Arabidopsis thaliana: one gene and its partner. The protein of the gene in region 1 interacts with the protein of each later gene in a pairwise test. Each region holds a gene or a part of one and is shown in the gene's direction. Other genes may lie near its edges. The genes, in order: TT16 and AGL92.

Evidence for each region.
Region 2: the proteins of TT16 (region 1) and AGL92 interact in a two-hybrid assay, tested with the Arabidopsis thaliana proteins (one large-scale study listed by BioGRID).

The regions. Positions count from the first base shown.
Region 1 is NC_003076.8:7,833,810-7,839,206, forward strand, and holds TT16 (K-box region and MADS-box transcription factor family protein), read left to right. Parts: upstream 1-2,155; 5' UTR 2,156-2,484; coding exon 2,485-2,493; intron 2,494-2,593; coding exon 2,594-2,820; intron 2,821-3,576; coding exon 3,577-3,646; intron 3,647-3,756; coding exon 3,757-3,921; intron 3,922-4,012; coding exon 4,013-4,054; intron 4,055-4,151; coding exon 4,152-4,193; intron 4,194-4,279; coding exon 4,280-4,531; 3' UTR 4,532-4,746; downstream 4,747-5,397. Other genes in the region: STP11 (sugar transporter 11), read left to right, coding at 5,323-5,397. UniProt on the Arabidopsis thaliana protein: Transcription factor involved in the developmental regulation of the endothelium and in the accumulation of proanthocyanidins (PAs) or condensed tannins which give the seed its brown pigmentation after oxidation.
Region 2 is NC_003070.9:11,322,123-11,326,429, reverse strand, and holds AGL92 (AGAMOUS-like 92), read left to right. Parts: upstream 1-2,253; coding exon 2,254-3,511; intron 3,512-3,601; coding exon 3,602-3,738; downstream 3,739-4,307. UniProt on the Arabidopsis thaliana protein: Putative transcription factor.

The DNA.
Region 1 (5,397 bases):
CAATCTTATCATGTAGGCGTAGCCTGTAGGCAGGTGTAGCGCTGCTAATTACTGAATATATATATATCTTATTATATAAAGTATGGTTTTCAAAGTTGCTAACTCATAGGATCGTGCCACGTGTCAAGTCAAACGATCAGATGTTTACATGTGTCATTCAAAATTTAACTTTTTTATTCTCTAAAAAAATAGAAAATCTTAAAAAGTAAACAAATTTACATATACTAATTTATATGTCTATATATTTATAAACAATTAACATTTATTCAAAAAAAGAAAATTAACAAATATGTGTTTAACTCATGTAATTATAAGTGAAAATAGAATATTTTGAGAAAAATAGCTTAGCTTATAAGATTTAACTTTTCAATTATTTTCATTTATTAATTTTAACTCATTTAATATTAATTTGCATGATGTAAAATTAGCTTACGAGATTACGGCATATATAAAAAATATATTTTCAACAATGTTTGGTTTCTAAATATTTTTGTGGATTTCTGATTTTCTATTAATTATTAAGCCTAGGCGTTTGGGTATTCGGATCGGGTATTTCGGGTTCGGGTTTTCGGGTTTAGAAGTTTATGACCCGTTCGGGTAATTTAAGATTTCGGGTCGGGTTCAGTTTGGGTTCGGGTTCGGGTTCGAGTTTATTTATATATTGAAATATCAAATTTTGTGTGCAAATCTATTAAATTATTTGAAATTTTCAAAAATTTCCAAAACAACACGAGTAGTTTTGATTGAATATTTCTAAAAATACACAAAAATAACTAATATATCCAAAAAAATCCTAATATTTTCTATATATAAGTATAAATGTAACTAATATATATTTATATTTGAGATATGTTTGGATACCTATTCAGGTTCTGGTTCGAGTTTTTTAGATTTTGAAGTTTAGACCCGTTCAAGTATTTAAAAATTTCAGGTACTCCCGCCTAAATAGGCGGGCCTTATCTAGTATATATATATATTTATGGCAATTAGAAACTATGAATCAAAGGATCTAGATGCCAATTTCCTTTTCAGAATTTCAGTGTTCGAGTTTCAGCATCAAATATATAGTAAATTATAATAAGAAAAAGATGTAAATGTCATCCTATTATTTAAATTTATATATTGGGAAGTAAACTTATTACCCACAACACTTTTATTGGCCTTGCTTTGTGTAGTGATGTTGTTGTATGAAGAGACACTTGTTCTTTTCTTATCGTGTTTTTTGAAACCATTTTATTAATGAAATTCAAATATACAATATTAGTGTAAGTGTGTAACTAATATGGATTGCGCTTTACAATCTTGTTTACTGAATTATGACTCGAATTGACAAGAAAAAGAAGCTATACTTTATTACATACTATAATCTAAATAAATTACACGTACATTGATGTTACTATAGAAATAAAATAAATTTTGGGGCTTGTATGTTTATGCATATATTTGATAGGCAGAGGAGTTAGGTAAAAAAAAATAAAAAGTCACTTTCAAGTATTGTTACACTTTGTCCTTTCCCATTTGGCTACTCTCTCTTTCTCTCTTTTGCCTTTTTCCTTTTGTGGTAACTTTGTTTTCCTTATAACATTATTTCATTAAGTTTCCATTTTCGTTTTTTCTCCGAATTACGTCATGCATGGCAGATCAAAGAAACTAATGTTCGATATTTTATAATTTTTTACTAAAAGGATCTTCTTCGCTAAAGAAATTACCAAACACTGCCATTACAAGTCTTGTCTAATAAAATTTCGTATTTAAGTTATTATTTGAATGTTTTGTAGCTTAAATTGTCTTTTGTGTTTGGTAGTTTGAAAATTGAGTATAAGACATCTTTGTTAACTTACTCAAAATTTAAACGAATTATTTTTTATATTTAAAATAACCTTAAAAGAAAAAATGCAAAGTGAATTAAAATATATTTTAAGAAAATTATTACTACTTTTTTAAAATTCTCTGTGAAATAAAAATAAAGAGAACATAAATATATAGAGAGGTTAAACGTGCAAATTAATGCGCACTAAGTGTATAATGCTGAAAGTAAATTATGACCACTATACGTATAATAACATTTAATTGAAACCCTAAGAAACATTGATATTATTAAATAGGTAAAGCCATTTTCACTGCCTAATTTACAGAAGACAAAAAAACCTTATACAAGAAGCAGAAGAAAGAGAAAATGAAATTAGAAAATGGTGAGCTGAAACAACACGCCACACACAGAATTATACAGAAACTAGAAAGTGTAATTAAGCATATTCTTACCCATTAATCTCTCACCTTTATTGTGTCATCCAACCTCAATCTCCGTTTCCAGATCCCCAAGAACACAGCTCAACAAAAAAGTACTTTAAAAAGACTCTCTTTCTCCCTCTATCTCTCTATATATATTTCTCACTAGCTCTTTCACACACACACACACTTTTTCTCTCTCTATCTCCTCTCTAATTCACACATCAAGATTCAAGAATCAACAACATCCTTGAAATGAATATTGTAATTAACTAATTCTAGGGTTTTCAGATTCTTGTTTTTTTTGGTTAGTTAATTAGGGTTTCTTTTAAGTTGATCTAGCTTTCATATACACTTGAATCAGGAGGAAGAGGGAGCCACTCATAAGAGGAAGAAGAGAGAGATGGGTAGAGGGAAGATAGAGATAAAGAAGATAGAGAATCAGACGGCGAGGCAAGTGACCTTCTCCAAGAGAAGAACTGGTCTTATAAAGAAGACTCGTGAGCTCTCTATTCTCTGTGACGCTCACATCGGTCTCATCGTCTTCTCAGCCACCGGAAAGCTTTCCGAGTTCTGCTCCGAACAGAACAGGTTAACTTCTTCTTCTTTCTTGAATTAGGGTTTCAGAGATCTATACATACATGTGTATGTATCCATCTAATTAATGAGGAAATGAGCTAGATATATGACTCGTGCTTGAGAACAGACAGTTTTCATCATTAGTTTCTGAAGTAGCAGGTGTCATGAGTCGTTTTTTGGATTTTCATTTGGCCCAGAAGTTAAGAATCTTTGATCCAATATTTTTGTTCTTGCAGTATTTAATTTGTATTTTCATGTATCTTATCATATTTAATACGTATGGGTCAAATTCTATATTTAATTTGTATTTGACATTTCTTGATCCAGCTTTTTCGTAATAAGACCCTAATTTTTTTTACTTATTTTTGTCACAAAAAAGACCCTAATTTATGTAGTATATTAATGTGTCATATTTACAACATAAACATACATACCGATATATATGTATAAGTCTCATGTTAATGATTCAATTTAGTACAATTATAAGTTTTAGTTCTAAGTCATGAACCAGATAAATAAGAAAATTATTCACATATAGCCATAATAGGAGAAGAAGGGTGTGCTAATAGTTTAAGCGTTGATTACACAAAAAATGGGTAAAACACCTTTTAAATTTGTTTTCTCCTAACCAATGTTTAGGCCAAAATATGGATTCTACCCTTCAGAACATTATTAGTTATTTTGATTTTTGTGTTCCTCCAGTGATTATTGAAGTCTTGACGTGTAGCATTAAAGATACTAAACTGATCACATTTTCATATTGAATAGGATGCCTCAACTCATTGACCGATACTTGCATACCAACGGATTGCGACTTCCTGATCATCATGACGACCAGGTATATATATGCACGCATACTTTTTCCTTTGTGTTACCAATTGACAACGAAGGAAATCACACATTTTCTTAAGAAACATATGATATATTCATTTGTATTTTTGTGTATAGGAGCAATTGCACCATGAGATGGAACTACTAAGAAGAGAGACATGTAACCTTGAGCTTCGTCTGCGTCCATTCCATGGACATGACTTAGCCTCCATTCCTCCTAATGAGCTTGACGGACTCGAGAGACAGCTAGAACATTCTGTCCTCAAAGTCCGTGAGCGTAAGGTAATGCAAATATATGTCCATATCTATACATATTCTTTTAAAACTATATTGGTTACACTTTTGTTTGATCTCTGCTATTAATATATTGAAGAATGAGTTAATGCAGCAACAGTTGGAGAATCTAAGCAGAAAGGTCACTCTCTAATCACTCTTTTTAAACTCTAATTTCATCTAATAATCTGATTATACCGCGTGTTTAATTATCATTACCGTGTTATGCATATGATCAGAGGAGGATGCTAGAAGAAGATAACAACAACATGTACCGTTGGGTGAGTTTGGTTACTAGCGAATGTCAATACGTTTTCACATTTACGTTGGTATAACATTTTTCTACATATACCGATGTTTCTCGCAGCTTCATGAGCATCGTGCAGCGATGGAGTTTCAACAAGCTGGGATAGATACCAAACCAGGGGAGTATCAACAGTTTATAGAGCAGCTTCAGTGCTATAAACCAGGGGAGTATCAGCAGTTTCTAGAGCAGCAGCAACAACAACCAAACAGCGTTCTTCAGCTTGCTACACTTCCTTCTGAGATTGATCCTACTTACAATCTCCAGCTTGCTCAGCCTAATCTTCAAAACGATCCAACGGCCCAGAATGATTAATACAATTCTCAATAGATATCTACTCTTTCTTTATGGAGACAGATTCATGAACTTTTATTACCTATATTTTGATAAGCCAGTGTCTTCTTTTGTGTGGCTATGGAAACCTTGTTTAAAGCACAATGCACTTGAGTTCTTGGTTATATAATTAATCATCATTATTACATATTTTCCAACTAAAGATCATCTGTTTATGTAATGAAACACCCTTGTTCTCCAAGTTATGTTTGTGAAAAAAAAAAGCTGTTGCTTTGATGTTTTGAAGTGAAGATTGGCCATTACCTGGAGACAGAGTGCAAGAGATAAGCAAAACTATTCTTAGACTATTAGCCGCAAGAAATACAAAAAATCCGGCAAATGTCTTATAGACTATTAGCCGCAAAAAAATAAAAAATAAAAAATCCCGGAAATGTCTTATAGATTACAAGCCGCAAAACTATTCTTAGATTATTAGCTGCCAAAAAAAAACATGAGGATCTTTGTAATGTCTGGTGGATTCAGACAGAGTGGATCATAATCCCGAAAAAAGCTCTTATAAAAAACTAAGCCATGATTGAAAACATTCCAATAACTTTTACAGAGGACTGCAAGAACGATCAAGAAGCAAGAAAGACGTTTCAGAAGAACAAACGTCTTCTTCTTGTTCTTCTTCTTCCTCCTCTTCTTTTTTTTGTTTTCATTACGACGAGAAAATTTGAGTTCGTGATCGCTTGAACAACCATCATCATCATCTAGAGCCCCAAAAAAGAAGAAGCTGCGGGCCGGTTATTTTGGTTAATTAGTCTAAATCCATGGCAGGAGGGGCATTTATAGACGAGAGTGGCCATGGAGGAGACTACGAAGGTCGTGTAACCGCGTTTGTCATG
Region 2 (4,307 bases), on another chromosome or scaffold:
CCTTTACTTTGAAGGTTTTAAATTATGAAGCCTGAGATGTTGTAAATGTATTAACATATTGCAGTTAAAGTACGAATTCATACAATTTTGTTCATAACTTCACGGTGAAAAGCAAATTTTTAATCCGGGAAAAAAAATTGATACGATTGATTATGATTAAATTTATTAGTCTCTTCCAGAAAATACTTTACAAAATAAGGTATATTCAAAACAAAAATGTCCAAAACCATAATCTATTTATAATATACTAGACTAGAATCATTTTAATTACTACTTTCTTGAAATCTAATTTGAATCTCAATTAGGTTACTATCCCGACTTCCATCTTTGAATGAAGCATTAGCTGTCATCTCGACAAATGATCAACTAACAGGTATTTTCACCAAGCCACTATCTTTTGCACACTTCCATTAAGTCACTAGCAAGATTGGAGTATAAGAAGTCTTCATTTAGAAGGGATCTATCTTGGTTGGATATGTACATATTATGGGCTTAAGGATAATTTGAAATTAGCACAAAGCCTTAATGAGTTTCCGTTTGTACATACTACCTAATAAGTATAACAAAATGGCAAGCTTCACTTCGTCTATCATCCCGACACTAATGAGGTTTTTTGGGTTGGATTTAAGTTCAACTGTGCCATCCGATACTAACACAAAATATTGTTAAAGGCCAATTATGCTTACTAACTCAAAGAAAATCGAACAGACCATAATTGTTTTCAATATAGCAAGTATAGAGATCAAATGGATCTTGATTACCAAAAAACTGTTCTTGTAAAAAATTTCATATACATATAACTCAATAAGGACCTATAACTTTTCAAAAGATTATTTTACCATATTTAAAAAATCTTTAACTAAACTTTTGAACATGACCTATATATATAGTTCAAACATCCTAACTAGACATATAAATAAAAATGAAAATTATTGGAGGGTCTTAATAAGATACTCCCCCATTATAATCATAACTAAAAAAAAATTTAAGATAGAAAGAAGAGAAAATTTCTCAAATAAGAACTTTGGGTATACTAACTAGAACTTTACAATTGTCTCTTTTTAATTGTTCATTTTTATTTTTAAATTAAAATTATTAAAAATATTAAGACTTTAAAAGTTGGGATACTTTTTTGGGATATGTGAAAACCATTGGAAGTGCTCTAAACCTCTTGTCAAATTTCTAGTTTCAAATATTTACAGCTCATAATTAGCTGGCAGTACAATGAATATTTTAACCAAATTAAGAAAAATATATGCTCCAAAAGGTATAATATATGCATGAATTCATAATTTATCTCTAAAATAACTGATTTTCTTTTATATCCAATCATGATTTTACACGTGTACATTAATTGATACGTTTTAATGTCATAAATAGTCATATTAGTGTATAAGTCAAAAGATGGAAAAAATCCATATATATTATTATATTAATGTATAAAGACAGTTTTACCCTTATTTCCTTTTAATTAAAATCAACTTATTGACTAAACAAAATTAGATGGACCTTCTGGCCATGGCAGATTTTTTAAAAATATTTTATTAAAAATTTAATTCATATAACTAAATCTGTGATTTTAATATTTTATAAGGAAAAATTTCTTTATTACTTTATTATTATTTTTTATATTTTATTATTGTAAAGATAAATTTTTATACATATAAAAGAGCATTTTTTATATATTAAAACATGATAGAAATTTTAATGATATTTATTATTTTATTATATTGGTTTACAAACTTTTTTCTATGTAGGCTTCCTTTAATGTCTACATATTTCAAAATTTTCGCTCGTTCTAAATATTTCGTAAGACACGTTAATTCTTTCCCGAAATAATTTTACTATAGATAAACAAAGTTCCTAAGCTTTTATATATTCATGATTTTACATGGAAATTAAGCTGTAAAACTCTATTCGAAAAGAAAAGAAAAACACTTAAAATATTAGAAATTTTCACAGTTTATCAAAGCTTAATATTACTCTTAAAAGAAAAGTGAGTAATATACGAAGATAAACTATATTTAGTAAAGAGAAAAGAGAATCCAATCTTAGTCATAGCTTTAATTAGTGGCCTAATCAATTAATAAGACAGTAGCCAAAAGATTTAATGCTGTAACTACAAATTAATGAGTCCAGAAACGTGATAAGCCACACCCTGAGTAAAAAATCACCCTTTTCGTTGCTATATAAACAGTCTTGGGCCAAGAAACTAAACAAACACAAACACCAAAGAAAAGAAAAATAAAGATAATGAGGACGAAGACTAAGTTAGTACTCATACCTGATAGACACTTTCGGAGAGCCACATTCAGGAAGAGGAATGCAGGGATAAGGAAGAAACTCCACGAGCTGACAACTCTCTGTGACATCAAAGCATGTGCGGTAATCTACAGTCCGTTCGAGAATCCAACGGTGTGGCCGTCAACCGAAGGTGTTCAAGAGGTGATTTCGGAGTTCATGGAGAAGCCGGCGACAGAACGGTCCAAGACGATGATGAGTCATGAGACTTTCTTGCGGGACCAAATCACCAAAGAACAAAACAAACTAGAGAGTCTACGTCGTGAAAACCGAGAAACTCAGCTTAAGCATTTTATGTTTGATTGCGTTGGAGGCAAGATGAGTGAGCAACAGTATGGTGCAAGGGACCTTCAAGATTTAAGTCTTTTTACTGATCAATATCTTAATCAGCTTAATGCCAGGAAGAAGTTCCTTACAGAATATGGTGAGTCTTCTTCTTCTGTTCCTCCTCTGTTTGATGTTGCGGGTGCCAATCCTCCTGTTGTTGCAGATCAAGCTGCGGTAACTGTTCCTCCTTTGTTTGCTGTTGCGGGTGCCAATCTTCCTGTTGTTGCTGATCAAGCTGCGGTAACTGTTCCTCCTCTGTTTGCTGTTGCGGGTGCCAATCTTCCTGTTGTTGCAGATCAAGCTGCGGTTAATGTTCCTACTGGATTTCATAACATGAATGTGAACCAGAATCAGTATGAGCCGGTTCAGCCCTATGTCCCTACTGGTTTTAGTGATCATATTCAATATCAGAATATGAACTTCAATCAAAACCAACAAGAGCCGGTTCATTACCAGGCTCTTGCTGTTGCGGGTGCCGGTCTTCCTATGACTCAGAATCAGTATGAGCCCGTTCACTACCAGAGTCTTGCTGTCGCGGGTGGCGGTCTTCCTATGAGTCAGTTGCAGTATGAGCCGGTTCAGCCTTATATCCCTACTGTTTTTAGTGATAATGTTCAATATCAGCATATGAATTTGTATCAAAATCAACAAGAGCCGGTTCACTACCAAGCTCTTGGTGTTGCAGGTGCCGGTCTTCCTATGAATCAGAATCAGTATGAGCCGGTTCAGCCCTATGTCCCTACTGGTTTTAGTGATCATTTTCAGTTTGAGAATATGAATTTGAATCAAAATCAACAGGAGCCGGTTCAATACCAAGCTCCTGTTGATTTTAATCATCAGATTCAACAAGGAAACTATGATATGAATTTGAACCAGAATATGAGTTTGGATCCAAATCAGTATCCGTTTCAAAATGATCCATTCATGAATATGTTGACAGAATATCCTTATGAATAAGCGGGTTATGTTGGAGAGCATGCACACATCCCTTTCATGGACGGAAACTACTACAACTACCACCAGCCACCAACCGTTGGTCTTACTTCCACCGGTCACATGCCTTCCACCACCACCACCACCACCAACAACAACAACAACAACAATGTGTGATGTGTTTCAGTAGTGTGCATTTTGTGTTTTGTTTGTTTTAAAAGACCAGTATTTAATTATGCTTTTCCTTTTCAATTAGTTGTTGTAAGAGTTGAAGGTTTTACCTTTAAGTCAGTTCTATTTCAATGAAGTCATTTCTGTTTGGTCACAAATTATTTTTTACGAGCTTTTTGTTCTTAAAATGCATAACTAAATAGATCTGCCAAAATCAGATAGGATTTTGTTTCCAAAAAACATCAATACTTTTCAAGCCTTCATTATGGTTAAATACTTATATGATTAAATATTTTGAAGAGAGTTCAGGACGGAAGTTGTATATATAGGAGGAGAAGTACCATTGAGTATATATACGAGGAGAACCATTGTTGAAATTGGTCGCAGTGAATCACTCTTGAACCGAAAAGAAGCGCTTAGAAATCAGATCAAATCCAAACACTCTAATCTTCCTCACTCGTTTCTTAATGCCACAAAGATCCAATATGGCAATGTAAACATAAACAGAACTAATTACATCTTTCTTAGTTTATGTTCTGAAACATGTCATACTTTACAATACAATTATTTGTCGA